Linked DNA regions of Mytilus edulis. The protein of the gene in region 3 purifies or fractionates together with the protein of the main gene of each other region. This does not show direct contact. Links are inferred from orthologs where the notes say so. Each region holds a gene or a part of one and is shown on either strand. Other genes may lie near its edges.

Region 1 (8,009 bases), on a different chromosome or scaffold from region 3:
ACCATTTTTCTTTAATTAGCTTTAGTATGTATAGAATTGCACGATCTGATAAGCCATAATAAGTCAAATAACAGTTAAAGGATGGAGTCAGGGCTCACGCTACCAGGCGACTTGGCCTTCCCGACCCTCACTTCGCTTTCCCCGACCCCCAAAAGCGAAATCAAGTCGCCCTGTTCTTGACGATACTTGCTTTCAGTCGCTTCCGTCATCGGACATTTTCAATTTTTACCAAGTTGATGAAACATCAATTTTTTATTGATAATTAAAGAAATTCAGACATAAACGATTCATTATCTTTAGAAAAGAGATTGAAGCATTGTCTTCGCAGTGTGTAGTAGGTTATTTGATAAAAATACAACTTTTTATCACTTCATGCATTTTCGCAAGTTCCGGTGCTTGTTACTCGAAAACGTACATCAACCTAAATTTCGGCGGCAAAATAAGTTTGTTACTTCATTTAAACGTGATAAAAGTTGCCTCCAGTAAATGTTTAATCCATTTATTGCATTAAAAACGTCATGTTCCTTTCCAAATAACTTGTCAAACATTGTTTATTTTTGTAAATTTTCTTGCATTCATCCGCCATTGACCGATTTCTAAACTACGGATCTGAACCGGACCAGCTATGACCGAAATCCGTACTTTTACAATAATTACTACGGACGCACGGACGGAACAGCTGACAGAAGAATATTGATCCCAAAGGGAAAAATTACGCATTCCACACACATTAAGAGACTTTTGGTTACATCTAATTGATTGGTGTATATAATTCCCTATATATTTTATGGATTGTTTCAAACTATTGATTAAAGTTGCTTAACTCTGAGACTATTATACTAATTTCAATATATTATGGCCCAGCTTAATAACTTTTATATTTTTTTATGAGAAACACTGAATTTCATACACAAGATAATTTTTAATTAAATTGTAATAATGATATATTATAATTTCTTAACATTTTTTAAAATAATTTTTTTTTTTAGTGCTAGATATTTAGTTGGAATAAGTTTGTCACAAGAACCTTAGTAAAACTTAAACAACTTTTAATTTCAAATGTTACTTTAATTGTATTTTTTTTTACTCAGATATGAATCGAACAATATAAAAAGAACATTATTTGCATATGGCCCTTTATACTATTGTAAAATCCAAACATTGTAACGCACCGCGCGAATGAGCACTTCTCTTTCAAATCTCACAACTTCTCCCTATCAGTTTCAAAAAGAGAAGTCACTTCTCCCTATAATTCTGAAGTAGTGTGAGCCCTGTGGAGTCAATCAATATTTGCATATTTTTGTGTCATACTGATTTTCATTTTGGCGGCCATCTTTCTTTTTCAATTAAGGCTCTGCATGATCAATGAAATTATTTTAAAAGGGGCTGCGGGACGGCACAGTCATGTTGACCTGGGAAAACACAGCTGAATCAGCTTCATGACTGAAATAAAATTTAGAAGATGTGGTATGAGTGCCAATGACGCATTGAGACAACTCCATTCAAGTCAAAATTTGTTAAAGAAGAACCATTATACCATTGTATACTATACGTTCATTTATTTTTGCAAGTACAAATTTTCGTGAATTGAGGTAAACTTGCATGTTCAAGGATATCTAATTTCGTACAGTATGCATACAAGCCTTGACACTTTGTGCACAAAAATCAGTACTAGGCTAAATCTTTTGTCTAGGATAAAGAAATCCCTCCCCCTAGAAACACGAAAGTTATACTTTAATGGTTATATTCTCCCTATTTTGGATTACTGTTGTACAATTTGGGAAAACACCAGTGTCAGACCAAAATACAAATAGATTAGATAAACTTGAAAAACGAGCAGCTAGAATTATTCTTGAACTTCCTTATGATACCCCATCTAATACAATGTTTAAAAAGTTATCATGGCTTCGATTTACTGATCGTTTAACTTACCACAAGGCCTTATACATGTATGTTCATAGATGTTTATATGGATCTGTCCCAGAATATTTGTCTAACAAAATCTCCTATGTTACAAATAATAATGGAATGCTACTTAGATCAAATACTACCCAATTACTTAATATACCAAAGGCAAGAACAAACACATTTAGAAGCTAGAGCTTTTTCATATTCGGGCCCAACTTTATGGAATAAACTACCAGAAGCACTAAGACACATGTCAAACATACTTTTAAAAAAAACTGCTTTAAGTTTTTACTTGAAAATCCAGGAATTATTTAAATGACTATGTATCAATTTTGATTATGTTTGCTTATGTTTATCTTTGTTATGAAGAAATTGTGTGAATTGCATTGTGAGTGGAGTGTGAGGGCCTCAAGGGAGAATAGTGTTTGTACTAATTGAGCATACCCTCTTGAAATAAAGATTATTATTATTATAAGCCTAAGGAAATTTTACAGGAACTTTTGAGATGTCTTATAACGATAAGGTGTATTTTTTCGACATGCAACTTCAATCAGTATCTTGTGTAATATTTTGTTTTACCTAGGGTTTTATGCTCTACATATGGAGAAGGATAGTGATGCCATGCCTTTTGTTTATGCGTCAAACGGTTAGTTTCTGCAACCCAACTGTTGGTGTCAAATTGGTTAAAATTTTACTTGATTCGCAGAGGTCTCAAAAACATTAATATCATTACAGTAATTTTTGGAATTTTTTTTATCGTCTAAAAGAAAGTGTACATCTTATAGTTATGCACAAAATATTGACATTTACATCATTAATGAATTTTAACTGTGATTCGTCATGAGGTTGCCTCCATTTACAACCCTCATCACAGGCAGTTTTTTCTATCCATGAGAAGACCCACTTCTATAAACGTAAATATACATTGATAGAAACAAGTGCCTGTGACCCTCATATAGGCAGGGCTGCCAAGTCTCACGCATCTATAAACGTAAATATACGTTGATAGTGGGTGTTCCCATGGATAGAACCTAGTGCCTGTGACCATCATATAGGCAGTAGTGCCAAGTCTCACGCATTTAGCATGAGACTTCATGCTTTTAAGGCGGCGTTTTTCTTTAAACTATTGTTTTTTCTCTTTAATCTTTTCAATTTTGGCCAAATCTCACGTATTTGCTTCATGAAAAGTTGGCATAACTGTATAGGGGAACAAGTTATGTCTGTCGACAAATGTGGAAATAGCAATTCTTAAAACACATTCATTCTAATGTATAACCTCTCTGTCTTTCAATCCCAACAGTAAGATTTCTTCCATTAAAGTTAAACGAGTTTCTTTTGAGTCGTGTTCCTCTTCTTCATCAGGATATCCAGAAAGATCTTCCGACTGCTCACTAGAATTTGGTTCATCTGTCCTTACATTATTACCGCGTCGTTGGACTAAGCCTCCACCTCTCTGAGAAGCCATTGTATCTATTTTACTGCATATAAAAGGCCAATAAGTTTGTTTAGCCTAAGAAACCTCAGTCACTTGCAAAGTCTGGCCATCAAAATGGCCGTCTTCGTTGACGTAAACATCAAAACATCCGAGATTTTCTAAACAATTTTAGAAACATTCTGAATTTAAAAATTGTTATCCAATTTATTTTTTTATCGTTCAAATTATCATTTTAATTTAAAAATATATTAATGAAAATTAAAAAAACAAAAATATTTAATACAATCCAAATCTGTTTTACGTTTTTATGAAAATACTAAAAGTTAGATCAATTGTCGGTTATATTCCGGTAATTATTTAATGTGGCGAGTTTTGTAAATTATTAAACAGACGTCAAGTATATTATCATGTCTTTAATTACTAGTATTGTCATTCAATTTCTGTTTTCAAATATTGAAATATGAATTATTATTACCAACATAAGAAGGACTGAGAAGGAATTTCCAATATTTAGATACAGAGACCTTTGTTTTTGCCAAATTTTAACTTGAATTTAAATTAATAATATGAGGCAGGCATTACCTGTAAATGGGGACGAAGTCTGTATGAATTATTATTTTGTAACTCAATTATTTGTAAAAAAAAAAAAAGACACGGAAATACAGTAACGTTTCCGATTTTGGTTCTGTTGTTAGGGATTTTAGTTGTGACGTTATTTAAATTATGACGTCATATGCAATGTAAACAAGAAACGCTATCATTAGGTAACGTTTTTTCATATCAAGGAATTATCAAAAATGAAATAAGTATTGCGCGTTCCTTCCTATTTTAAACTAGACTGATAAATATATATTTTACTCAAAGTTTCATACAAACGAGACCGGAAAAGGGAAGTATATTGTACATTTCTGCGCAGGTCCGGGATTTCAAAACATGACATAAAAAAAATTGAACGATTTTGAGTTCATTAGTACAATGAAAAATTCGGGAAATTTTCCCGAATTTTTTTTTTTATTGAATTTTCTACTGTTATTGGGGACTTCGTCCCCATATTACCAACATATAAGATGGACTGAGACTTTCCAACATTTAGATACAGATCAGTGGTGGATCCAGAAATTTTCATAAGTAGGGGCCCACTGACTGCCTAAGAGGGGGCCAACTCCCTTCGCGCTTCAGCCTGTGGTTCTCTATATAACCAAACAAAAACAATCACAAAAATCCGCCTCTTTTGGTTTTTTTCCAAATTTTGAAATATAAATTAATTTTACCAGCATAAGAAGGACTGATAAGGACTTTCAAATATCTAGATACAGATACCTTTTTCCTATCATGATTTTCTTGATAGACCGGGGTTGCTGCTCACAAGGAAGCTATTAAACCAAGAGTTCAAAATGGTGAAGTTGAAATCATCCCGCTTCGTAAATTTTACGGACGTCATCACGAGTTGGTTGACCGTTATGGAATAACCGTTTCACAGATGGTATATCGGATATGTTCCTTACGTCGTAACTACAATCCCCTTCCCTTTCATGAATGTGACTTACCGAATTAGATTATTTACCGGATTTGTGATAACATGAGCAACAACACGGGTGCCACATGTGGAGCATGATTTGCTTACCCTTCTAAAGCACCTGAGGTCACCCCCAGTTTTTGGTGGTGTTAAACACACCCGTAAGAACACATTTAGAGTATGCAAGCTCAGTATGGCATCCATATAAAATAGAATATAATGACATGATTGAGAATGTGCAGCGTCGGGCAACTAAACAACTACCAGGATTAAAGAATTTAAGGTAGATCATCGGTATATGTTTCCTGAGATAGAATTTTATTATACTTTGCCAAAATAAAGATTTTACTGTGCTCTTTTTAAAAATATAATAAAAATTATGGGTCACCGTTTTATTTTTCATGCTATGAGTCTTTGAAAATTGCCTAAATTTGCTTAGAATGATCATGAAAAAAACATTTTGTGCCTAAAAAGAAATCTATGATATAGAATTTGAAATAAATTTCGAGAAGATAGGTTTTATAATGTTTTTTAAAGGAAAAAAAGAAAGAAAAAAATGGTATCAGCTAACTTGTTTTCTAAATTAAAAATTTCCCGATCAGTCCAGTATATTTTTTTTTACTAAAAGTGTTATCTCCCCTTAAATAGCTTAGTTAAAAAAAAATGATTCTAAAAACCAACACAACTATTTGATACTTGTTTAAATAATTTAAATAATGCAATAAACCAGCAAGTTTTTTTCATATTAATGAACAGTCTTAAACAATAAAATTGCACATTTGTATACAAATTTGCAGATTTGGGCAAATATTTAGACTGATTGTGTACTGCGATAGTGCAATCCAAGATGGCGGTATACCATGAAACTACCTGAACATACTCAGAAAGACTGCAAAAATTAAAACTACCATCTCGAAAATAGAAGGGTCCGAGGTGACAGGATTGAAATACACAAACTACTGAACGGAAACTATGAAAGAGAGGCGGCACAAATTGTTAAATCATGGAAGGATATGACTACAAGCACAGGGATAAGGGGCAACAGTCTGAAAATATTTCCACAGAGAGCCAGAACAGAATTAATGAGAAATGCCTTTGCTCTACGAGTGCCGGGTGAGAACATGGAATGCACTACCCGATATTATAGTGTCATCACCAACCACAGATACATTTAAGAATAGACTAAACAAATACTGGATGAACCAAACAATGATGTACGAAGCCACTATAGAGCAACAGTCACCGGAAGTGGAGAAGATTTAGTTAAAGAGACTGATGAAGAGGAAATTTAGTCCCTGTATAAGTAAAAGAACCTAAGTAAACCTAAGTAATAATTTTTAGTTTGAAATAGTTTTTCGTGTTCTGATGAACGTTTTTGAAAAGACAAACTATAAAAAGCATCATGCAAAGTTCTTTCTATTTTTTTTTTTGACTGAGATATATTGGTGATACGCTGTCACCCAATAAACCATATTACACTCAGATAGTTTTTCATATCATATATCCTAATAAACTTCAAACTTCTATCGTGCAGCTCGTCTTTAAGTTTGCATTGCCGGTTTCCAATACTGTCTTGGTGTATTTGCGGTTTATCGGATAGACATGCTCTTTGGTGGGTTTTGAGCTGATTTGGAGGTTTTGATGTAAGAATCCGAGGCTTCAGCTACCTTTTCATGTCATGCTGTTTGTTTGTGTTCACTCCAATCTATAGATCATTTGTAATGGTGCAGCCTATGTATTTGGTTGATGATTAATGTACCAGAGTGTGGCCGTGGTTTATCTTGAAATTCAATATATAAAGCAGACTTTCTAATTTCAGTGTGTACCCAGAAGACATAGGAATATACCTTTCTGATGCATACTGTCTCACTCATTTTGGAGTTCGTGTAATTCCCTTAGTTTGTTTCCTTTGATTTGTATCTTCTTATGTTATGATTTTATGGGAATTAAACATCAATAAAAACATTGTTTGCATCGAATATAAGCACTGTCACGCAGTTCATTCCAAAACTAGTTTTCAATATAATACGGGTTGTATATATGTTCTTCTCGTATAGCTTATAATGGTATGATACTAAGCACCTAATGGGAGGGATTGTGCTTTATTTTCATATGATTCAGACATAATCTTTCCATCAGTTAAATTGAGGTCTATATAGCTGGCATTTCAGAAACTGCTAGTAGTCGTTTGTTAATCAATGTTGATTATTATACCTTTGGCTAGTTTCTTCTGTTACATATCCTAACATCGAACTCGACTTCTAAAAAACCGAGGTTTACTGTGCGTTTTGCTTTGTGACACATTCTCCGTTTCCATTCTCAATTTTACTGTTGCCTCTTATTTGCGTATTTTGTTTCTTTGCGTGTTCTCACGTTTGAACTTTCGACCAGCATTTGTTTTAATTATGCACAAGTTTATTGAACCATTTATATGTTCCATGTACCAACAACGAGTCGATTGCCTTATGCTTATTTGTCTTTGTCATCTTGGAAATTGGGTGTTGATTGCAAATCAAGTATTTTTTTATAAAGAAAACACAATATTGAGCATATGTTTTACATTTCATGGACCTATAGGTTTTCAAAAACTGGTAAACTAGTGCTGCTTTCTGGAGTTTAAATGACCATGTAGTCGCCAAAAAGTCATACACTACTAGTTCTACATATGCACACACATTTGTGTACTAGTAATTTTACAAAATACATGCTCTGCTGCAATTTCTTGAGTAAAAAGGTTATACTCAATATTTTAAATTAAAAATTAAGCTACTTTTTGTGGTTAAAACATTTATTTTAAATTGCCATTCATGATATTTGCTGGTTTCAGAAGTTCAAAGTCATAGTTATCTGGCAGAAAATACAATATCCGAACAGATGTGGTATAGATAGATCATATATACATGTAGATATGTGCAATTCTCGCGAAATATGTCTATAACTTATTTATATCTGATAATATAGGGTTATTGCATGAATATTGGGGAATATTGTCCCGAGTAGAATTTTATATTGCTGGAGCTTGCAATATATGTTCTACGAGGGACAATATTCCCCAATAGTCATGCAATAACCCTTTTATAATTGAGTTTTATTGTATGGCAATATATATTTGAAAGTAAAAATTGGTTTAAACTGAGATTGTGTCGTTGA
Region 2 (7,908 bases), about 38 Mb from region 3:
TCATTGACCATCAGGACTTTTTAATGTAAATAAAACAGAAAATGCAAGGAACTTTGTATACACATTTTTTTCTACACATTGCTCAATTCATTTTTATGCTAGGTTATGGATATTATTTGACAACTATTGTTAATGACATCAGAGGAGTGAAATAATTGAACATCACATGTAAAATTATATAATTATCACTCTTTAAGGAGATATGAACCTGACGAATTTGAATTTTTTAGCAACTCAAACTGTCAGTAACATACAAAACTCATTATTGTAAACTAACTGGGAATTATCATTATATCATTGCAATCAATGTTATACAAGTACATATTACTTGGGTTGGGTTGGGGGGGGGGGGGGTCCTGATCCCAAAATCCTGTGGTTAAAAACATAAAATATTGAGGTCCCGATTTGAAGAAAGTTAAATTACGACATCTCGAAATTCGAAAAAAGAATTCCTGAATACCAAAATCCAGAGCTTAAAAACACCTGAGCCCGAAGTCTGAAAAAAGGTCCTGTCCCCCTCTTTACTTGTCCAAGATTATGTTTATACTCACGATAACCATGCATGATTGAATAGTAAATTAAATCAAAAACGCCTAACATAACAATATCTAAACTTATCTCACCTCGCCATCTTCATACCGAACTTTAATCTGTCCTGGTCCTTTGTAATCTTCCAATAGTTCAGCTCCTCGCCAAATAGCTTCTGGGTCGGCAATCCATATCCTGGCACCCTGAAAAAAAACAACAAATATAAACATTAAAAGATTTAAATGTTGTTTTTTAATACAATGTATATAACAAAACACACACATGTTTACGTATTCAACAGCAACTATCAACAACTTTTCAATTACAGGCTCCAGACTTAGGACAAGCATATATAGAATGTTGCGGGATTAAACATACCGGTATTAGCTGGTTCCTTACCCTCGCCCTAACCTGGGACAGTGGTGAAAGCATTTATACTATCCGACAGTACATGTACGTTACCATCGAATCCGTTCAATACAGCATCTTGATAAAAGAAAAAAGTTGACAATATAAAGGAAAAAATAAATGATATTTTGTAGAGTTTGTGCCCTCTTTTGTGTCCTTTCCCATGGTGGACAGTTTGATATTAAAAAAATCCACATGAGCTGTTGCCATGGTAGGTAGTAATGCTAATCCACAACTGTCCACAGTATCCTTTTTCAATATATCACTTTCATTAAATATCACAATCAGTTTTAGTGTTAAAAGTAATAATAACAAAAATACTGTACTTCAAAAAAAGGGAAATTCAAAAACAAAATAGTCCATTTTAAAATGCTTAATCAAAATCCCAAACACATCCATGACATCAAATGAATGGAAAACAACTGTTAAATATTCCTCAATAATTCCTGACTTGGTACACGCATTTCCTTGTGAAAAAAAATGGATCAACAGATATTTCAAACTATCCTCTAAAAGATGTAAAATTCTTAATAATATAATCATTCCCTGTGTTCCCAAGTTTGAAAGACAGTAGACCCCAAAGTCCCCAATGTTACAGACCTTTGTAAACAGCTCCTGGACATCAGAATCTTGCAGAAAACTTTGAAAATTAAATCTCCGGTAAATACTGTCACAATTCTTTAGCCGATTCATAGTTAATACACACAACTATATTTAATAATAGCCCAGTATTTAAATAATCGTTAAATAATTATCCAAAATGTCAAATTTGTAATTTTGTTTATTAGTCATGATGTACCAGATACTTCTGTTAACAGCAGCAAATACAAAATTCAGTAGGATTTGTTTATTTATGTGTGATGCACTAGATACTAATGTTAACAGCAGCAGACTCAGGATTCAATAGCTTTTGTTTATTTGTGTAAGTGGAAATCTGCAATAGATTTCTGATTGAGTTTATTTTTGGAACAATTAAATTTTGAAGGGGGTTTAATTAATTGTTCAGATACCTTCATGACCTTATAGCTTCATCTTTCATGGATTTGATTACTACGGGTAATTTTATTTCTGTGTGGGGAAATATTTCTTTCAATCTTTTTAACTATATATATAATAATAAGGCCTATTCCAGAAAAAAATTATGAGAGAATTGGACATGACATGATATTTCTATCTATGGGTAGTATATAGTGGATGCTACAAATTAAAACACTAGTTATGGGTGTTGTGGTAGGCTGTTATCACAGCAATGTTGTCACAACCTTACACGTACATTTTGTAGGTTAATTGTATGCATTAATTAGATGATGAAATTGATTGTTTTTAACACCTTGGCAGCTGCCAAATGGTTTACAATTTTTTTATTTACGCCATATGCGCTTTCATCTACAAAAAACTCATCGATGACTCAATAAGTTTTTTGTAGATGAAAGCGCATATATGGCGTAAATAAAAAATTTAATCCTGATTAAATGATGACTTTATTCAGAAGACAGAAAAAGGTTGGTCTCTGCCCTAGCATCCTAGAGGTTCAAATGTAGGATAATATTACATGTAGTTACATGAGGCCTGTCTATGACCTGACCTCAACTATACACGTAGCTAAGCACAGTAATCTTTGATGTGCAGAAGTCACTCAAAAGCAAGATATATATGACGGTTGTGTTCGGTCAACTTTCATCACGAATAACGCCAAAAAATCTTGCAAAATGATGTTAAAACTTGACAATAAAATATACACATTTTCTTTAAGAATAAAAAAAAAATCGAACAATTTTGATGTCATGAAATTCTTTCCAAAAAAATACTGTTACATATAATTATTTTTAAGACCTCTGATGAATCATTACCAATTTTTACCATTTTTACATTAGGGGGAGTAGGAAAGGGTCAGTCATGATATCTAAAAACACCTGATCTCGGAGTCTCGATAAAGGTCCTATCCCCCATCTTCATTCGTAACAAAAAATTATTGATTCAGGCCTAATGGTAAATAGCATTCATACCCTCATATATTGATAAGGAATATTGTACATGTATCATAGGCTTGTTTGAGTTTTTATGCAAAAATATGACATTCTGATTCAAATTTATTTGTGTTTGTGTATATATACATCCTTACATGTGTTACTGTCAAGCTTCAACAGAATAAACGTTTCTAAGAATTTTTATTATTTATCGAATGGTTTAGTGACCAGATTCTTTAAAATCAAATCCCAAGTAGTTTCAATAATATTTTTGTCCACAATCTGTCAGACGGTTATATATAAACACAACAGTAGTATATATCCTGTTTTAATGGGCGTATTTACCTTCACATAAAGTTCATTTGCCGTCATTTTTCTGACTAGAACTTCTTTTGAGTCAAAAGGTTATTCTTCAGGGGTTTACATATTCCAAGTTATTTGTCTAATCCATTTGTTTTGATGGTGTTATATTGTCTTTTAAAAGATGACCTCCTATTCCACCCACCGAATATTATCAAGATATCTTGATTATGTACAAACTTGTTTTACCTGTGACAATATCTACATTGACCAGGTAACGATCAAACGCTTAGATGATAAAGAAACTCTCGTGTTTCTTCGGGCAATTACGTTGATTAAGTTGTCGTGAATAAACTTGCTAAAAATAGATTTCTCGTTGCTTACTGATATTTCAACTCGATAAGTATTTCGTTTGTTGGTATTTGGGGTTGGGGGTTGGGGGGGGGGGAGGCATATATTAAAGCCAATTCAGTGATACTTAAGGGTGAAAGGGGGAAGGGGGGGGGGGCGTAATATTGAAAAAATATTTAAAAGGAGTTGTATACTCAGTGACGAGAAGGCGGTAAAAACGTCAGTATATAACATGACTATAAACGGCAATACATTTATGATTTATCAAACTGGAATGAAGTCTACAACATGGTCACATCATGTTTACAAACGGCTTGGTCATCATGGAATGTGAACGTGGGGCAGATTAAAAGGGGGACTCTATGGTGTCACTGTATCCCTTTTTTGGGGAAAAATTGTTTGATTAATTAGAGGAGGTGGACAGGGGGATAGGTTTCTCCCTGCTCCCGCCCCTCTTCTCCCTTCTCCAGCCCTCCTTCTCCTTTCTCCCTCCCTCCTTCTCCCGTCTCCCTCCCTTTTCTCTCTCCCTTACTTTTTCCGACATACATTTCATTAATATCCATAAAACATTCAGGAAGAGTTTCGCTCAGAAGATTAGTAATGCCATACTATAAAAGTAACGAGTATCTCCCCTTTAACATTTCCAGAGACATGTATACTAAATTTAATATTTATATGTTTCTGACATTTCGAACTTTCTCATGTAAATATTTCTTCTACATGTTCTATATCCATCTAGTTGTTCAGGAGTAGATGCACTTAAAAGAGTTACATTAATAGACAAACAGGATGCAATATGCCTGCAACGTGATCAGACCCATGCAAATTCCCATCTAGGAGGGACATTCCAATGCAACCTCCCATATTTTCAATATTTGACAAGTTTTAATTGGAAATAGTCCTGTTAAGGACGGCAGTAAAAATCGTGAATGTGTGCCTCCAGCTTAACTCTGATACGCGCCGTTTCCCCGATTAATTTTAAAGTATAAAAATCAGAGGCGACTAGCACTCAAATTAATATTGGTACGACAAGAAATGTTATGGGTCGCGAGGCGACTCATCCTGCCTTAGTGAGGCGTATATTCGGCAGGGGTTGGTGGCCCCTAAAGGGCCAGAGACTGATTTTGGGATAAATGGTGCAAAATCCGGCATTCTGACACTTAAATTTCGCTTATCATTTTTTGAACAACAATTTGAGTTATCTCACTTTTTTGAAAGTCAAATTCAAAATATAGAAAAAGAAAAAAAATGAAACATGAAATGTGTCAAAAAGTCAACAATCCAAATGGATACAGCAAGTGGAATATCTTGGCTTAAATTTATACTTCCAATTTTGTGTTGGATGCCATTCAATGTGTCTTGGCATACAGGGGATTTTTCATGGTGGTACGTATAATAGATTTCGTTGCCGAGCGTAGAGGGGCAATTTTTTTTAGGACCTCTTTTTCCCCTCAAAAACATAAAATCAGTGTAAACTGCACTAATTTAATAGTTCTTGACGTGCGGCTTGTATATAAATAAAGAGTAAGGGTTAAACATTTTTGATGCCGTATTCTACTCCATTAAATTTCTAATTATAAAGTGATTGGATGGATCCAAAGCTAGAATTTCTTATTGACATGTATTGAGAGGTTTCTAGTGATGACTTCTGTACACATCTTTCGTCAAAGACATATGGTCAACAGGGTTTCCGCTGGCGGTCGCCATTTTCGCAATTTGCGAAAAAATAATAATTGTGGCGATAAAAATTCGTCATTCGCGAAAGAATTTGGCGAAAGAAATATATAGAACGATTTATTTTCCTCCATCTTGTTTATTTACTTTTTTCGAGTTTCTCGGACTTTACCCGATCAGACAATACTCGGAATTCACCTTGACCTCATTAAGGTTTGGACAGAAAATCAATAATCAGCTGATTGCATTTTATAGCTATCGACAACAAGGACTATATTAATAAAGGTGTTGATTGAATTGTTTGACAAAATGATATGGTTAAATGGCTTCTGCTAAATGTCACATACAGAATTTATTTACCACTTTGCGACGCACGTGTTTAAAGCAAACTTTTGACGTCTCCTCCGCTTTTAAAGAGAGTTTAGAAAAGAAAGCTGTTGTTGTGACGAAAAATGTCCAAAAGCAAGGAAAATCTCGGATTTAAAACTTTAATTATCCTTTGACTTAAATATCGGTAACTGATAAGGAAGACGTTTTTAAAGTCGTTTGAGTGACACACGTGTTTCAAGCCTAGTTTTACGTCTCAACATTTTTTTATTTACGATGGTCAAGAAAAGAAAACTGTCGTTATGAAGAAATCTATCCAAAAGGTTGGCTCGAATGAGAGTAGCCCTTCAATGTAATGCCTACACATGAAACGAGGGATCAATTTCATGTGATAAAAGCTTTTGTTTTGTTGTAAAAAAACCTTCTTAGTACAAAAGGACACATCAGTATTTTTCTTTTAAAGAAACTTTCCCTTCGAACTATACTGGTATTATATAATCAAAACATGTCCATTCATTTTGTTATATTCCAGGACGTATATCTTCTTTATTATTAAAAGTATAGTGGCCCAATCAATTAGAAAAGTTGTTTAAAATACAATGAATAGTTTTCCCTTTTAAATTAAAAATCATAGACACAATGGGCAAAATCATCTTATTTAAGGGAAAGGGGAGGGGGGGGGGGGTGTAGAAAAAAATGTAAATTTTAAACGAAAAATATAGTTATGTTATTTGGCGAAAAAAATAATAAAGTGGCGAAAAATATTTTGTTTTGGCGAAAGAGGTGGCGAAAAAAATAATTGAGTCAGGGGAAACCCTGATGGTCAATTGTAGAAGTTTATGTTATATATAAGTTATGGCCCTTATGATGAGGTCCTTATGATGATTTTATTAAGGGGACCTCAATATCTCCCAAGAAAAAGAGTAAAACTAAAAGTCATACAAGACTAACAAAGGCCAGAGGCTCCCGACTTGAGACAGGCGCAAAATTGTGGCTAGTTAAACATGTTTTTGAGATCTCAATATCCCCCTATACCTCTAGTCAATGTAGAAAAAACAAACACACAACACTACGCACAGTAAAACTCAGTTGAAGAAAAGTCCGAGTCCGATGTCAGAATAGGTCACAAAGAAACTAAACAAATTGACAATGATACATAAATTAACACAGACTTCTAGCAGTTACGTACTGACATGCGAGCTCGGGACCTGTATTAAACTAATAAAGGATATCGTCTTCATCATATGAATATCAAGCACAATCCCTACCGTTAGGTGTTTAGTAGTATACCATCATAAAATATATGAGAAGAAAGAACCCTGTCCAAGTGAATCAATATTAAAGCCAAAATAAGCAATCTTTAGTGAACTGACAACAGTATCGTAACTAACCCTTCTTAATAAGTAGCTTTTGAGGTGAATACTGACAATGTTTGTGACAAAGTATAAACAAAGGAAAATAGAACATTTTCAGGCGATTCTGACAGGGACATCCCAAATTCACCATCATTTCTAAAATAAATCGTAATTAGTTTTAAAAAAGTTCACATAAAGTTTAGCTACACTAAAATAGCGTAATTGGTAGGCTAAGGTTGCATCATCTAGACATAAAAAATGTATTTACAAAAGATTCGATAATTTATTTTTTTCATTTCGGTGCCCACTTTCTTTTTTAGCTTGATGAATGCCGTACTCAATTTGAATTAAAGTAATTGTTTACTTTTAACACATTATGAAACCTGGATTAAGAGTTCAACTCGTCTCAATAATTGGCTACTAGTCTACCACACTCCTTTATTTCTATTGAACCAGTATTAATAAATGTATATACCGTTTATATTGCCTATGACTTAAGCTTATAAATGGGATTTTCTGTCTTTGTTTTTTCCCGTAAAAACCTTGTTTTCTTTAATCCCGTGAAAAACTTTTTTTTTCTTCAATAAATTATAAAAACTTATAGGTATGGCATGCCGTACCAACAAACATTATTGGTACGGCAGCAGGCTTCTACGCCCCTGGCTGTAAATCCAAACGGTTTACTTTTTAAATTGTTACTTGGATGGAGAGTTGTATCATTGGCACTCACACCACATCTTCCTATATGACTTATCTATATAGAAACGCAGGTTATTTTTAATTTGTGTAAATATGGGAAATTTTTGTGACACTATTTGTGCAATTTCGTAAATTTTGTGTTAAATTGGTTGCCAAAAAAAAAGGGTTCTTGCAAAATAGAAAAAAATAAAATTCTTTTGGAAAATAATACGGGATGTAATTTGTTGAAAATACATAGTACAAGCAGTCTTTGAAAATAAGGCAGAAAATGATTTTTGGAATGGAATTAACAAAGAAGA
Region 3 (8,330 bases):
TCGTTCTTGACCAGCTGTGTCCCAGATCTGGGCCTTTATCACTTTACCTTCAACCTGTATGCTCCTAAATAATTATAAGTAATATCGTTAACATCCCGTTTATTGTTATTCAATGTCATTGCTAATACATTTATAATTCATTTGAAAAATATTTGTTACAGTTTTGAAGTATATGATTAACTGTAGTCTTAACTTCTTAAAAGACATATGTACGTCTCTGATCAGATGGATACATTTGTAGTTGTCTCATTTTCGATCATACCAAATCTCCATATGTTCTGACAATAACAGTGCACATGATTTTCATTGCTTTCCCTTTACATGACCTAAATGGGAACTTTATACATTGTCTTTGGCTCAACTTTAGGCCTCATATTTTGACTTACATCTAGAAATTGACAATGAGGGTCGGTTGATAACAAAACTTTACGACAAAAGAGATGATTTCAGCTTTCAAATTGTGAACTTTCCTTTTCTAAGTAGCAACATTCCAGCAGCACCTGCATACTGGGTATATATCTCCCAATTGATACGATATTCCTGTGCTTGCATTTCCTATCATGATTTTCTTGATAGAGGGTTGCTGCTCCAAATGGTGAAGTTGAAATCATCCCTTCGTAAATTTTATGGACGCCATCACAAGTTGGCTGACCGTTATAGAATAAATTTTTCACAAATGATATCGGATATGTTCCTTATGTCATAACTACAATCCCTTTCCCTTTCATGTATGTAACCTACCGAATTCAGACTATTTACCGGATTTGTTATCACATAAGCAACACGAAGGGTGCTACATGTGGAGCAGGATTTGCTTACCCTTCAGGTGCACCTGAGATCACCCCTAGTTTTTGGTGGGGTTCATATTGTTTATTCTGAAGTTTTCTATGTTGTGTCATGTGTTCTATTGTTTCTCTGTTTGTCTTTTTCATTTTTAGCCATAGCTATGTCAGTTTATTTTAGATTTATGAGTTTGACTGTTTGGTATCACCCGTTCTTCTTTCACATGGTTTTGTAATAGTTTTGTCAATATCCTTCTTTTCAATTCTGTAATTTGTTATTTGGTAAGAAAAACATGAAAGTCAGATTTCAGAGGTTGGCACATTCCCCCATTCCCTTTTTTTGGGGGATAAAACTGAATTACTGATGTACTAAAATTGTTTCCCCCTTTTTTTTTTTTTATATAAATCAAGCTTGGTATTACCTTGTTGCAAATTCCACACCAATAGTACTTTTACTTTCCAAGTTAAATTCATTTCTTGTGAATCTTGACAACAGATTACTCTTTCCTACACCAGAATCACCAATCAACACAACTGCAATACAAAAATATACATTAATATAAAATTAGAATTTAGGAAACTCTCTTAATTATTCACACAGCAGACATAGTGTTGCAAATTTGTTTTTCGTTTATTGTTTTGCACTTAAATAAGCCATTAGTTTTCTTGTTTGAATTGTTTTATATTGTCATTTCAGGGTCTTTAATAGATGAGTATGCGGTTTGGGCTTTTTCTAAAAGTTAGCCTAACACACGCTACATGTATGTAATTTATTAAATTTTTTTGTATGTTAAAAAAAGGTTTAATGTAACAACAGGACTTGTTTGAAGTCAATGAACTGTACTACATGTATATACAATGTATGTATAGTTCTTAATCCTAATATCCTGAAAACAGACAATCTTCTTACTTGTCTATATATTAAGTAATACAAATAGAGATTAAGTAAAACATTTAAAAAGGAATCTATTGTTCAACAATATTTATGTTTCTTTTAATTTTGTTTAATATGCATATCAATCTCCCTCCTACTAAAAAGTCATATACATGTATATATTTGTTCATTTTCCATCAAATTAGACTCAAATTATCAGACCGGGCTATTATAATTCAGAATTGTGAAAATATTTTTTTTATTTTTGACAAGGTTCTTATAATACATTTATGTCATTCATGTAGTGACTATATACATGATATATATTTTTAAGTAATTAAAGTAGTTTATTTTTTAAATTACATTTTACCTCTTGGAAGGTTCTATGATGTAAAGCTGACCATACCAAATTTAAAAATCTCTAAATGTTCCCGTCTTTTCCCCAAATTTTTGAGGTAGCTATAGGTGAACCCAGTATTAAATTTTGAACCTTGGTAATATATAAGAACTTCTTTAAAGAGCCTGGTCTTGTATTTTTGTCATTGAAATAATTAGCTTACCTTTTGTTATATAATCAAATTCATCATCCAGATAATAAGTATAAGCATTGCTTTTTATTTTACTCTGACAGTAACGACATTCTGTTTTCTTATCCTTTTCTCTTTTGTGCAAAGCCATTTTGTCAAAAATTGAATTTTAGTGAGCAAGAATTTGTAAAGCTGACAAGACCACACTAACTCAATAAGTTAAATATTTTATACTGTTAAATTTGTTTAAATCAATATATATATATAGCCATTTATGATTCATTTTTTATATTTAATTTTATTTTTAGACCTGATCGTTGGCCATGTCACTTTGTTTACAAAACACAAAATGACTCATCTGGTACAGGAAGTAAGTTAGTCAAAAGTTCAGTTTACCATTTACTAACCACATGTAGACAATGAAGATTGGTGCCAATACACTTTTTAGCTTTGTCTACCATAAACCTGTCAATGCCGTCATGATCATAGGTATTACTTTACAGTTGCAAGAGAAATCATTGAACTGACCCGGCCACATCACTTTTCCATTGTGGCAACAGATATTTTGTTTGATGACGACAAAATTTAACCAGAACCTGTGACACCAAGTTATGGCATACAAATAGCGATAAGGTGTATAGTTTGAACTCTTGCGTCAAAGTGTTGACAATAATGCGACTTCATTTTTTTTAATCTTTAATGGGTGTACCGTCTATGTGAAGCATATACATTACAAATGTAAAATCAATGGACAAACGTGGGAACTCTCTGAAGTAAAAGAGCGGATAAACATCTACAGAGAAAATGTTTAAGCTGTCAAAAATAGTTTTTGACATTTCATTTCCTGTACTAATGACAACAAAACAAAACATCACATCGGGTCGGAACAAAGCTTCAAGTCATTCATGGTGATGTAAACTGTAAATATGAGAATTAATATAAGACTTTATCACACAAATAGAAGGGCTGTACCTTTAAATAAGTAATCGTACTCGTCATCTTTACTACCCATTTCTTTCCGGAAGTTGGCGGAAGCAGGAATTCAGATGAAGATTCTTCTGACCCCTTCCTCAAATTAAGACAATTAAGTCGATTTTCAAAGTCTTGAACCAGTTGACTTTGTGACCTGTTGATAACTAAATACTTTCAACTTCTGATGCTTGTGATTCCAACAGATTTGTCAGGTGACCCTATTTCTGTCAACAACTGTAGCAGCCAATATGGCGATTTTGACGCCCCTTGTTCTGCGCAACCAAATGACGTCACCCGCGCAAGAGGAAATGCAAAAAACAGCCGGGGAAAATTTCAAAATACGAAAAATTTACCGGAAGTTCATTAACGAGAACATATGACGATTCTTACATTTTAAGGTTATATAAAAATGGAGCAAATTCTACCACATTTTGCAGAAGGAAAAGTTGTTAAAGGATTCGGACGGGGCAGCAAAGAACTAGGAATACCCACTGGTATTGAATACAGTTAATTTTACACACACTTATATCTAACTTATAGGGAAAAATGATAAAAAAAACAGGAGTGTCAGCTGTGACCAGGTTCTTCATAAAATTATCTGTGTCTGGTGTAATACCATGAATACTTGCTTGTGTAATATATGTATGTCACAAAATTTTCCAATAATCATGATATCTTCTGAGAGTGTCTTCATTTTTTGCTTCGAATCAGGGTGTGCAGCTATATACCTAATAGCTATTCCCGGCTGACCTGAGAATCTGTACCTGTTAAACTATTGACATCCTACAACATTCACTTTTTCCTTGTGACGTCAGATATTTTGGATTATGATGGAGGTCAAAATTTTACGGGAACCTGTGACAGTGTGTAGTCCTATAAACAAGGACATATATATTAGTTATACGTATACGTCCTTGCTATATTTAAGACCTTGGTCATACATTGTTTTATCGCATTCTATATTGCCAACTACAGAAATAAAAAGATGAGTTTAAAATTGCTGATGAGACAATTTTCCATCAGAGACCAAATGACATAGAAATTAACAAATATATATATATATTTATCATGTTTATAGGTCATCTGTCTTTTGTCCTCTTTATGTATACACATATTGAACTCTCTTTCACAATTTTCAAAAACTCATAAAGACGAAAACTAACCGACAAAAATAAAATACCGTTATTGCATCCGTTTTGGTGAAATGACCAAAAAAAAGAAAAACATGTTAACAAGACATCATCCAAACAACACCATTAAATTAATCACCAAACACCATTAAATTAATCACCAAACAACACCATTAAATTTATCACCAAACAACACCATTAAATTAATCACCAAACACCATTAAATTAATCACCAAACAACACCATTAAATTAATCACCAAACAACACCATTAAATTAATCACCAAACAACAACACCATTAAATTAATCTCCAAACAACACCATTAAATTAATCTCCAAACAACACCATTAAATTAATCACCAACCAACACCATTAAATTAATCTCCAAACAACACCATTAAATTAAACTCCAAACAACACCATTAAATTAATCACCAAACAACACCATTAAATTAATCACCAAACAACATTAAAGTAATCACCAAACAACACCATTAAATTAATCACCAAACAACACCATTAAATTAATCATTAATTTATAAAAAATCTTCTGTCTTTGCTACTGTTATATGTAATTCTAGACTGACTAAAGTACTGTTTCACATTTCAGCTAATTTCCCAGAAAAGGTAGTAGAAAACTTACCCAAAGATCTTCCAGGTGGTGTGTACTATGGCTGGGCCAATGTGGATAATGGTGAAGTATTGAAAATGGTCCTCAGTATTGGATGGAACCCTTACTATCACAATACAAAGAAATCTATGGTAATAATAATAATAAAATGACAAACTGATTGTCAATAAGATAAGTCTCCACCAAAGACATAATTAATAACTTTAGGTCACTGTACAGCCTTCGTCAATGAGCAAAATCGACACACCTTAGTCAGCTAAAACAAGAAAACAAAACTTTTTAAAACAATGAACAAAAAACAATAATACAGCATCAGACAACAAATGACAATCACTTAATTTTAGGTTCCTGGAACAGGCACATACGGAATGTTGTTCGGTTGATCATGTTTGTGAGTGTTTAATGTTCACCTGTGAGAGAGAGTTATGTTATAGCACAATATTAGTTACTGTATTACAGAACAAACTATTAAAATCAGCTGAAAAAGGATCACATGCATTTAAGTGTTGTTCTCTAATGTTTTCAGGAAACACATGGTATACATACATTTAAGTGTTGTTCTCTAATGTTTTCAGGAAACACATCATGCACATGGTATACATACATTTAAGTGTTGTTCTCTAATGTTTTCAGGAAACACATCATGCACATGATATACATACATTTAAGTGTTGTTCTCTAATGTTTTCAGGAAACACATGTTATACATACATTTAAATGTTGTTCTATCCAGAAAACCCATATGTTATTAATACATTTAAATGTTGTTCTATGTTTTCAGGAAACACATGTTATACACACATTTAAAGAAGATTTTTATGGATCAACATTAAAAGTAATTATGCTTGGATATATACGACCAATGAGAGATTTCTCCTCTTTAGGTAAGTTTTTATTGATAAGAAAGCAGATTAAAGCAACCTGTCAATGTATTGTTTGTAATCGTGATGTCTGTTAATGAATTTCTTCTCTCAAAACATATAATATATAAAAATAAGAAGACAAAATGACGTAGAAGTTTACAATTATAGGTCATGTATAAGAATAAGGAGTTCTGGTTTAATGAGACAACTTTCTAACAGAATCAAAATGAGTTCCTGATAAGAAAAATTCTGTTTGTGTAATTAGCCTTACATGTTATCAAACATTATACAATGTTACTGCTATAGGAAATAAAATGACTTTTCAAGGGAAACCTACCGGAGACTTATAAATATCCAAGATTTTTGTAAACACAGATGAATTATACTCTTACATCACTATCTCTGTTGTATTACACATAAAAAAAAATATATTTGATTAAATGATACCTCAATATAATAAACATGTTAGTTTTTTTTTTTGTTACAGTTAATGCATAGTGTGAAAATAGTTGCTATTTTTCTTATTAAATTATCTCCCTTGTTTGAAGTATTTTTATATAATTACACTTGAACACTAAAATTATGAAAAAGAATCCTGTTACCATCACTTTTTGTGACTTTGCTGTATTATTTGTGGACATTATTTTTTAGAAGATACAGTTAAAACCAAGCATGCATTTTTTTTAACTTTTCGATTAAGACTTAGAATCAAGTTTTTATTGTTCTAAATGAATGTTTTTATTTTACAGATGAATTAATAGATGCCATAAATGATGATATACAACAGGCTAAAGACAAGTTAGATTTACCGGAGAATGCATCATATAAACAAAATAACTTTTTATTTGATGAAATCAAGGAGGATGTTTAATGTTAGATTACTTTAGATTTTTTATTATTTTTTATTTATTTACAGACTGACTGTTTTAAGTGAGACTGGTTTAATGTTTGTTGATCGTCATTTATTTGGCAATGTGGTATAAATATTTGAGCTGCGATGGAAAGAAATTGACCTTATGCAAGTGCATGTATAAATTTACATGTATAAGCCTTTGAACAAATTTATAACATTCAAATATATAATAAAGATGAATTTTGTGCTGTGTTGTAGGGTGCTTATATCAACTATTTTTTTTGCCTTGACATATCTTTTTTGTGCTGATGTGGCATAAAGCAAACACCAACCAATCAGTCAATCAACTCAATTTTTAAACAGCTACAGACTTTGCTTGGAGATTTATCAACCTCAAATAGGTTTATAAAAGATGTATTGATATTTACATAGGGTTGATATCTATTCGCTGCAGCTCATATATAATGAAAATAATTCCTGGTGAAGTTTTATATAAATCCGTAAGATGTTCAACCAATTATGAAATGTCAAGTATTTATGTGTTCTAATGCATTAAGGTGGTACCTAACACTACAGGGAGATAACTCTGTAAAGTCAGCTAAATGTTTTAATTACGTTGCCTTGTGAATATTAAGCTACTCAATTATCAAAACTATTGTTTGTCAAACTTCTATATAACCAGAGCAATTTTTCTAAAAATTGTTTGGTTCAAATTTTTTGAAATTTTTATATTTTTGTCAAACGTTCAAAGTAAATACTTCGTCAAAATTTTAGGAAAATAAACGAGCCAAATAAATTTTAGTGAAGATGTTGGGTACCACCTTAACATATAACTTATGTTTTATTTTTTATGTCACATATTTCCAACAACAAAATAATGTTTTGTTTGAGTGGCGTTAACATCTGTCTAATTTTAAGTTTAATAATGCAAATTTATTTGTTCTATATATGTTTTTTTTTGGTTGAGTATTATACAGATGTCAAAAAAGAGTAATAGACATATATAATATATTTTGCTGTACCACTGCCTATTTTCTTCATAATATCTCTTAAGTTTGCTTTGATTGGTATTTAAAAAAAATGAAGTTTGTTTCTTTTATAAGACAATCTGTCTTTTAAATTTGAACTTTGACTATTTTCAGAATGTCCTAGAGTTATGGAATTTTTTAACATTTTGATATCTTTAAGCATGATTTTTGGTACATGAATTGCAATTGCTGTAATTACTTTTGTCCTAAATCAATAACATATAAAAAACAAGAATGTGTCCCCAGTACACGAATGCCCCACTCGCACTATCATTTTCTATGTTCAGTGGACCGTGACATTGGGGTAAACCCTCTAATTTGGCATTAAAATTAAAAAGATCATATCATAGGGAACATGTATACTAAGTTTGAAGTCGATTGGACTTCAACTTCATCAAAAACTACCTTGACCAAAAACTTTAACCTGAAGCGGGACAGACGGACGAACGAACAGACGGACGAACGAACGGACAGACGGACGGACGAACGGACGCACAGACCAGAAAACATAATGCCCCTCTACTATTGTAGGTGGGGCATAATTACAACTTGAAACTTTTCAGATTAATTTTTCAAGAGTTATTGAACTTTGATTGTTTAACAGTGTTCAAAATATTTAGTTTCATGATGGCAATAAGTGTTTTAAATTTGAATGACTTAGTTTATATA
Region 4 (8,186 bases), on a different chromosome or scaffold from region 3:
TAATTAAGAGTAAGAAGTTTTACTGTGATGTGAAAATCCTTGTAAATTAATAATAATAAAAAATAATAAAGAGGGAGTAGACTACAACAATGAACTTATACAATCTGCTTTCTGTAAATCATATATATAAGTTATAAAATACATGGATAATATACTATTGTTTAATAATTAATGTTTAAAAGTCGGTCATTACAAGGGTTATTCGGATATTAACAGTGTTATTTTGGTCATTCGAGGTACCGTATATTTTGCTACAAATATATAATTTTTCATTGGTTCAAAATAAAGTGACATTCTGGCAACTTTTTGGTGTTGCATAAATCACATAATCATTTACATCAAAGCAAGTTAAAACAACAATCCATCATGGTTATCAAACACACAAAAGATAATACCAAATTTAGCTGTGTGCAAATACCAATTTGCTGTTATCATACATTGATACCTAAAATTTGATAATTAATTAACAAACAAATTAATAAAAAAAAAAATCATGTAGTAAGTCACCAATTATTATTTAGGAAAATATTTTTTGTTTTGGTAAACATGGTAAATAATACATACATGTATATATAAAAAAAATTCTTATTATTCAGCTGGAACTCAAAAATTGGGTGCGACCGTCTAGGGGTCAGTGAATGTACTAGGACACGAACGTGTAGGGTGCGAAAGTGTATTGGAAGATTTCGGTGCCCCATCATAAAAGAGGTCATGGAGATCCTTGCTGCCCTCCTCCTTTACTTATACGAGTAAATATTACTTAGATCTTGAATTATGAAGTATATGTATTGTGTTTTCGACCGTCTTACGTTTTCAACCTAATTTTACTTTCACTTCCTGTATGCCGCGCATGCCTGTGTGACGTCATATTCGGCTGCTATACTTAGTAACAATAGCAAATGATACCAAGTGTGGTAAAGATTTTCCAAATAAAGTTATAAAAATTAAATATTCATGATTTTTTATTTGATATCACATTTTCGTACGCTTCAACTATACTAGTTTTACCTTCCCAAAGAAACGATCTAAAATAAACAAATTTTCTAAAAAATATGGCAGAGGTATTTTTGCATGCAAAGTTAACTTCAAGGTCATTAAGTCACATGACTGTCCTATGGTTAGTTGTAATATAATGTACTTACAGGTAATTTGCATACAGAAATGCATGCTCCTTACTGATTTTTACCGAAAAAATAAAATATCAGTTAATTTTTATTTACAGAAAAATCAGTCTGTCATGGGAAATTACAGACAATACTCACCAACCTCACTTCACAATGCACTAACTTAAATTTAACGAAAGTATTTAACAAAAACATGAATAATATATACAAGACCATACAAGGCTTCCAATGTGTCTCCTTTTAAAATGTGTACAACTTGTCCAAACAAGTGAAACTGCGAGCTACTGCTCACTGATGATACCCCCGCCGCAAGTGGATAATATTAATAGTGTAAAAATATGCAAGTGTTCGGTAAACAGGAAGTTGTCGAGTGATGAATCTGAAAACGCATCACACGGTATAGCTGACTTATAAAAATCCTGAAACCAAATTTCAGAAATCCTTGTATTGTAGCTCCTGAGAAAAATGTGACGAAAATTTTCAACTTGGCTATCATGTGTAAAATCAGACAAGTGTTCGGTAAACAGGAAGTTGTCAAGTGATGAATCTGAAAATGCATCACACGGTATGGCTGACATATATAAATGTTGATAGCAAATTACAGAAAGGGTGGATGTGTAGTTCCTGAGAAAAATGTGACGAAAGTTTCATGGGACGGACTGACTGACGGACGGACGGACTGATGGACGGACGGACGGACTGATGGATGGACGGACTGACAGACAGAGGTAAAACAGTATACCCCCCCTTTTTTAAAGCGGGGGTATAAAAAAATATCAAAATAATATTTTATATCTTATAGTTGTACATGTATATGTAACCATTCTATTCATTTAGTCATAAGTTTGATCACCTCTATCAATTTCGGATTTGTACGACATGTCATTTCCGACTTTAGACCTGTTTCTTAGATAGGTCGAAAACACAAGATGCTTGTTTTTGCCAACAAAGGTGCCATCGATCCGATGAATTCAAATAAAAAATAAATTAAAGATCGAAATGTATTTCATTGTGTATTTTAGATACAAGTGTACTGGTGACTCTCAAAATATTAGGCATGTGTATGTTCAAACATATAAAAGGGAAATTCAGAAAAATATGTTAGTAGGTCGAAAATACAATACACGAGTATATACATACATTTAAGGTTCATGTGGACCCTATGGCTAATATGGCTGTATTTTCACCTCAAAATTTACTCGGAGTACAGGCAAACCTGTGCATCCGAAAAAGTTTTAAGGCATACAATGTGCATGCCCTAGATAAATAGAATTCAAATGCATTGTATGAATTAGAAAATTTATAACTTAACTGGATTTTGCCGTACACTTTTTTTCGTCCCTGCAGATGATAAAATTAACAAACAGTTGAGTTTATCTTGATATGGTCCACTCAGGTACACAGTTTAAATGACCAATTATTTTTAGGTATCTATTGTCCATCTCATGTCCATGTCAAGCAATACAGCTCACTTCAATTCGCCGTTTCAGAATCTAATGCATCCTAAGTAATATTTCCAAAAGTGTACACCAAAACGTCGTGATTGGTTAAATATATATATGTCATAAACAATGGAAATTCAACCAATGACGTGACGTTATTTTCATTTTGGGGTACGAGCAATGAAATTACCCATGATTCTTTAGATTCTGAAACGGCCAATTATTACCTGTGGGGAAGTTCTCAAACCTGTTTACCAACTTAGTTTTTTTTGGCAACTTCTGGAGGAATGAAAAAAAGTGAACGGCAAAATCCTGGTAAGTTTTTATTTTTCTAAAACATAAAACATATTTGAAATTTATTTATCTAGGGCATGATATGCCTGGAATTTTTTTTACAGATGCGCAGGTTTGTCTGTATTCAGAGTAAATTTTGAGGTGAAAATACGGCCATTTTAGTCATAGGGTCCACATGAACCTTAACAGTTCAACTGTTTACATTTTTGTATCCCTAAAATAGCCTGTATTTTGAGATAAATTATAGAATACTCGTAACAGTTTTTGCTAACTAATGTGCGGATCCTGATAAACAATTCTGATATTTGACTGATCTTACTAGACTTATTATTACTGCACCGTTATTACTGTTTTACAGGGGAAATTGTTTACTGATATCCACTTCCCCCCACTGTCAAAAAGCAAGTGGAGATAACTCAGTGGTCTATCTCCGGATAGATTGTTATTGCAGCGAATCATCAAAGAAATATCAAATTACTATAAAAAGGTTCACAGTAACATGTACTGCAACGTCTACCAACTGGTGCCCAATTTTCAGTTTTATTCATGTGCACAGGTTTCAGGTGTGCAGTTCCAGTTGTTTGTTTGTTATAAAATTTAAAACCTTAAAAATCGATTTTTTTATTTGAAATTATCATGACCGAGTGCCGGCAATATACCATGTGTAGGTGGAAGAAAGGTCCACTGATATATGCCCTGAAGTAACTGTGCCCTTAGGTAACCGGGGGAATTGGTCATCGATTATTTCGCACGAAAATATAGTTCCCTTTATTGATTAATCTCAATACCACATTGTAATGTGACTTAATACCAACAAAAAATAGATATATTGTTGATAATATAATGATGATGTAATTTTGAAAATAATTTCTTCATCTTCAATGTAGCACGTCATAGACGTTGTATTGTTTATGTTATGTGTTTGTGTAACGGTTTATTTCTTCCTCTGTGATATTTTATCCTGAGGATAATTTGTCATAGTAATTTTTTTCCAGGCATGGTATTTCACAGGTAGATTTTTCCAGAGGAGTGAAAATCTATCTGTGTTATGCGGATAGTATGTACCCGTATATATTTGCCGTATCATATTTCACAGAACCTTGTGAAATATAGTCCCATTAACTAGTATGCAAGTTAATCGCAATTAATATATACCTGACTTAAATTATAAAATGTTTCACAAAGGTAGAACAAATTTTCATAATTTATCAAAGGGAGGTAATTATGAGCAATTTATATTTTAAAGATATTAATATAATATATTCCTGAATCTATTTCATAGTGAAATTTTTCCTTGAATCTTATTTTTTATATATTCAGTTATATCAAAAGATGACTTACAACATGAATTTTTAATAAGACAGATAACATTTCACAGGTAAATACTATCTAGCTTTTAAAATTGCTTTTGTTCCAATATATTGTTATGCTATGATTCATCTGATTTCCATATAATCAACAACAACATCTTTGTTCCCAGATAAAACTGTTTTTATAGTTAATAATATTATCATAATCAAATTCTTCCATTACTGTTAACAGTAGAATTGCAACTATATTTCTACCTTTACTTTTCAATTTATATTTGTACTGAGATCTGAAAACAACTCACTTTTACATGTATTTCACTTATCTTATTTAATCATGATATTATTTCACAATTACGAAATTATTTCTGGTTTTCTTTCTTATGTTTAATGATAATTTTCTTTTTAAAAGAACGATATTTACTTGAATTTTTTCAGGAATTTTTTTCAATGATAATTTGTGAAAGAATTCCCATTATAATACATTTTTTTTTACAATATAGGTTTAATTCAAATCATTTTATTATTTCATGGTATTTGTAAAGGGTAAGTTTTTTCTAATAACTATTCAATAAGTTAACTACCCAGATAGAATTTAACGGCAAAGGAAAAATATCCCAGGGAAATATTTTCCTCCGGATAAAAAAATAACAACAACTACTGTGACATTTTTTCCTCAGGATCAAATTTCACCCGGATATAATTTTGCTTTTCATTGGAGACGAATTGGTTGTATTTTGTGGTTTGTTTTTTTTTTGGGGGGGGGCTCAGGTAACCCCTGTAATCAAAGAATAGTAAATACTATGCTATGATATATTATTATGCTGCAATAAACTAATTTCTTCATTCTGAATGTAGGACGTCGTGGACAATGCATAGCGTATGTCATATATTTGATAAGATAACTAGAGTTAGATTGGTTACATTTCTTAGGTGTTTTTTTTTGGGGTGGGTGGGGGGGGGGGGGGGGTTATCTCAGGTATCCACGTAATGAAATAGTAATAGATACAATGCTAGGGTATATAATTATTAATTTCTTCATTTAAAAATATAAGACTTCATAGATGTTGTATTGTAACGTTTGTGTAATGTAATTTTTAAGGTGAACTGAGTTAATTTTGAGTTAAATGGGTTATATTCGGGTTTTATTTTTTGGGTGAACTAAGGTACCACCTGTAATGAAAGAATAAGAGATACAATGCTAGGGTATAAAATTACGCTGTAATAAACTAATTTCTTCATTTTAAATGTAGGACTTCATGGACATGATGAACATTGCATAGTTCATGTTGTTTATGTAATTTTTTTAAGTTAATTTGAGTAAAATTGGTTATATTCGTTTTTTAGGGATTGAGTGACCTCAGGTACCCCTGTAATAAAACATATATAGGTACAATGCTAGAGTATATAATAATGCTGTAATATTTTACAACAGATTACATAAGGGTTTTATTAAATCAATATATGTATGTACGTGGCGGAAGAATTTTATCGTATGATAATTCTATTAATATAACAATAGAATTGTAACAGGTTTTATGAACCCGAGTGTATTTAAATACGGTGGACTCGAATTGAAATTATCGATAAGGGCGTTGACCATTCGCATGTACACACGTAGTTTTTGTTAGTTAAACTTAAGCACATATAGATTCGAAAACAGTATTAAATGTACTTTTTGTAACAAATTTTGTTTGTTTTTTGTAGATTGTTGAGATAACCTTTTTAAGTTTATTTAAACAGAGGACGTATATATATTCTGTGATGTGGACTGTATTTGCAAAATTACAAACATTTGTAATTTGTTGTTCATTTGATAAACATGTATTGTAATGATTTGGTATTAGATAAAAGAGAATGGTCATCGTGCCTGACAAGTTCTAAAACTAGTGTTTTAGTTATTTATATATGAATGAGATAAGAAAAAGACTGGGCCGAGATATATAGAAATTATATAGTCTAGAACATAAATAATTTATGTTCGTTTGAACGAAGAGAATTTAGAAAATAAGTCTTCATACACTATAGATTACCTGATTTCACCTTCCTTCAACCCAGTGCGTGAACCGGTGACAAAATATTATCGCCCCTGTAAACAGTGGGCTCTTCTGACTAGAGGTAATCGGTAAAGAACAGCGGAAAATGGTGTACATTGTTTACGAGCTTGGAGCTAACACAGACGAACTGAGACGTGTCAACGTAATGTGAATATGATAATGCACCAGGTAAATTATTAATTGTTAAGTTTATCACATCATCGTATCTTCATATGATAGGTAAATAAGTGAATTTTCGATTTTAAGTGTCGTCAGGGTTCAAACATGGAATCATGCCAACCTTTCATTATTTTTTTTTAATACTAACCTATAGTCGGAACATCTTGATTTTCTCCCAATTTGTAAAGTTAATTATGCTGCTTGACATATATTTTTTTTGGGAAAAAAAATTGATATGCAGTCAAATGTGGCAGTTTTTAATATTTGTTGCTATGTGAAATAAAGGGAAGTAAATTAAAGTAGAAGAAGGCGCACTTTTTCAAATAGTAAACAATTTAATTCAGATGCATAGTATTTTGTCAAATGATAAAGAATATCGTAGAAACTTGCTAGAAATTCATCTAATACCTTGAACAAATTCAGTTAAAAAAAAGGGGGGGGGGGTAAAATGCTACGAAATTTAGATTTTATTTATTTTTTGTCGACAGCCAAAAGATGATTTGACATGTAACTAACTACTTTTTCAATTTCATTGTAAAGTAAAATTGGCTTTTTTTTTTTGGGGTCTCTGTTTATTGTGGTCTGATGTTTTCAGGTTCTCTTTGGATTGCCAAATAATATTATAATCATCTAATTGAATGTTCAAATTATTTTGCAGCGATGGTGTGTATGGAAGGAAGACTGTCATAAAACCCAACAGTTCCGGATGGCCTTTAAATAATTGCTTAACATCAATAGCGATGTAAGATTCAAGTGTTTGATTTAGCACAAGTTTAGCCAGGTTTTCCTTGTAATTGTGGCAGAAAAACCACTAGACAGTGTCATGCATTGAAAGGATATCAAACGGATATTTTATGGAATGATTCTCGTACATATAAAATCATATGCATAGGAATGTGGAGCTATATGTAGTGTCTTTCATGCAGCAATTTTTAATTTCCAATATAAACACTGAAAAGACTAGAGCATAGAAATGTATACCAATGAGAAACATTCTTTGTGAATAAAATCATTCCAAAACTTAAATGTGTCATTAGTGTTGCATTATTTATCAGTAGAGATAATCAGATTCCAGTAAGATTGTCCAACTGATGGTTTTTGTTTGTAATCGTTTTTGTAAATCTTAGTTGTTTTGACAATCCGGGCTGTGCAAGTTGCCCGGCTGACCCTTTCAGTGTGAGACAATATTTTGTTTATGATAAACAAAATCACTGATTCAAGACTGGAGCGGACCCCTTTTAGGCAGTTAGTGCGAATCCTTTAGGTTTAAACCATTACATGCAATACGGGGGGAGGGGGAAGATTTTTTTTTACCGAGTCAAACATTTTTCCTAATTATAATACATTGAGATTTAATATATACTTTGCTATATGTAGTGTGTATATTAAAGTATTGCCAACAAAATTCATCAAATTTGGGATCATAATATTGTTTAAGAAAAACCTCATAAAAGTTCATAATCTTCTGTAGCACACGTGCATGGTTAATTCGGATCATATATTTTCTATTCCGATGTTATAAGAATTCGAAGGTTCATATCATTTACAATATCATTCAAAAAATTTCTGGGATTTTTTTTTACTATCAACGTTGAACCTCGAGGTTACATTGTAGTAAAAAAAAATCCAATAAAAACGTTGAATGTAAATGATATGCACCTTTAAATCTTATATTGTAGGACTCATGTTGTTCAAACATAATGTGTTGATCAATTATGTTATGATGATTTTGATAAACTTCACATTAGGTAATCTTTCACGTATATTGATTACATTAGATCGAGTTGTCCCAACGATATACTT

The links.
Region 1: the proteins of ras-related protein Rab-11A (region 3) and Golgi phosphoprotein 3 homolog sauron-like purify together in Drosophila melanogaster (affinity purification with western blotting; 3 studies listed by BioGRID, with this or other methods). This does not show direct contact. The link is inferred for Mytilus edulis from reciprocal best matches to the Drosophila melanogaster genes Rab11 and sau.
Region 2: the proteins of ras-related protein Rab-11A (region 3) and unconventional myosin-Va-like purify together in Drosophila melanogaster (affinity purification with western blotting; 4 studies listed by BioGRID, with this or other methods). This does not show direct contact. The link is inferred for Mytilus edulis from reciprocal best matches to the Drosophila melanogaster genes Rab11 and didum.
Region 4: the proteins of ras-related protein Rab-11A (region 3) and exocyst complex component 2-like purify together in Drosophila melanogaster (affinity purification with western blotting, with the first as the bait; 3 studies listed by BioGRID). This does not show direct contact. The link is inferred for Mytilus edulis from reciprocal best matches to the Drosophila melanogaster genes Rab11 and Sec5.

The regions. Positions count from the first base shown.
Region 1 is NC_092347.1:27,684,068-27,692,076, reverse strand, and holds the start of Golgi phosphoprotein 3 homolog sauron-like, read right to left. Parts: upstream 3,494-8,009; 5' UTR 3,374-3,493; coding exon 3,185-3,373; intron 1-3,184. UniProt on the Drosophila melanogaster protein: Phosphatidylinositol-4-phosphate-binding protein that links Golgi membranes to the cytoskeleton and may participate in the tensile force required for vesicle budding from the Golgi.
Region 2 is NC_092354.1:38,486,789-38,494,696, reverse strand, and holds the start of unconventional myosin-Va-like, read right to left. Parts: upstream 3,472-7,908; 5' UTR 3,276-3,471; coding exon 3,249-3,275; intron 1,669-3,248; exon of another isoform or gene 1,630-1,668; coding exon of another isoform or gene 1,537-1,629; intron 732-1,536; coding exon 624-731; intron 1-623.
Region 3 is NC_092354.1:552,578-560,907, forward strand, and holds the start of ras-related protein Rab-11A, read right to left. Parts: upstream 3,468-8,330; 5' UTR 3,196-3,467; coding exon 3,156-3,195; intron 1,317-3,155; coding exon 1,205-1,316; intron 65-1,204; coding exon 1-64. Other genes in the region: riboflavin kinase-like, read left to right, coding at 3,565-3,649, 4,897-5,048, 5,699-5,801, 6,530-6,651.
Region 4 is NC_092348.1:25,984,448-25,992,633, reverse strand, and holds the start of exocyst complex component 2-like, read right to left. Parts: upstream 3,287-8,186; 5' UTR 3,180-3,286; exon of another isoform or gene 3,133-3,179; intron 1-3,132. UniProt on the Drosophila melanogaster protein: Component of the exocyst complex involved in the docking of exocytic vesicles with fusion sites on the plasma membrane.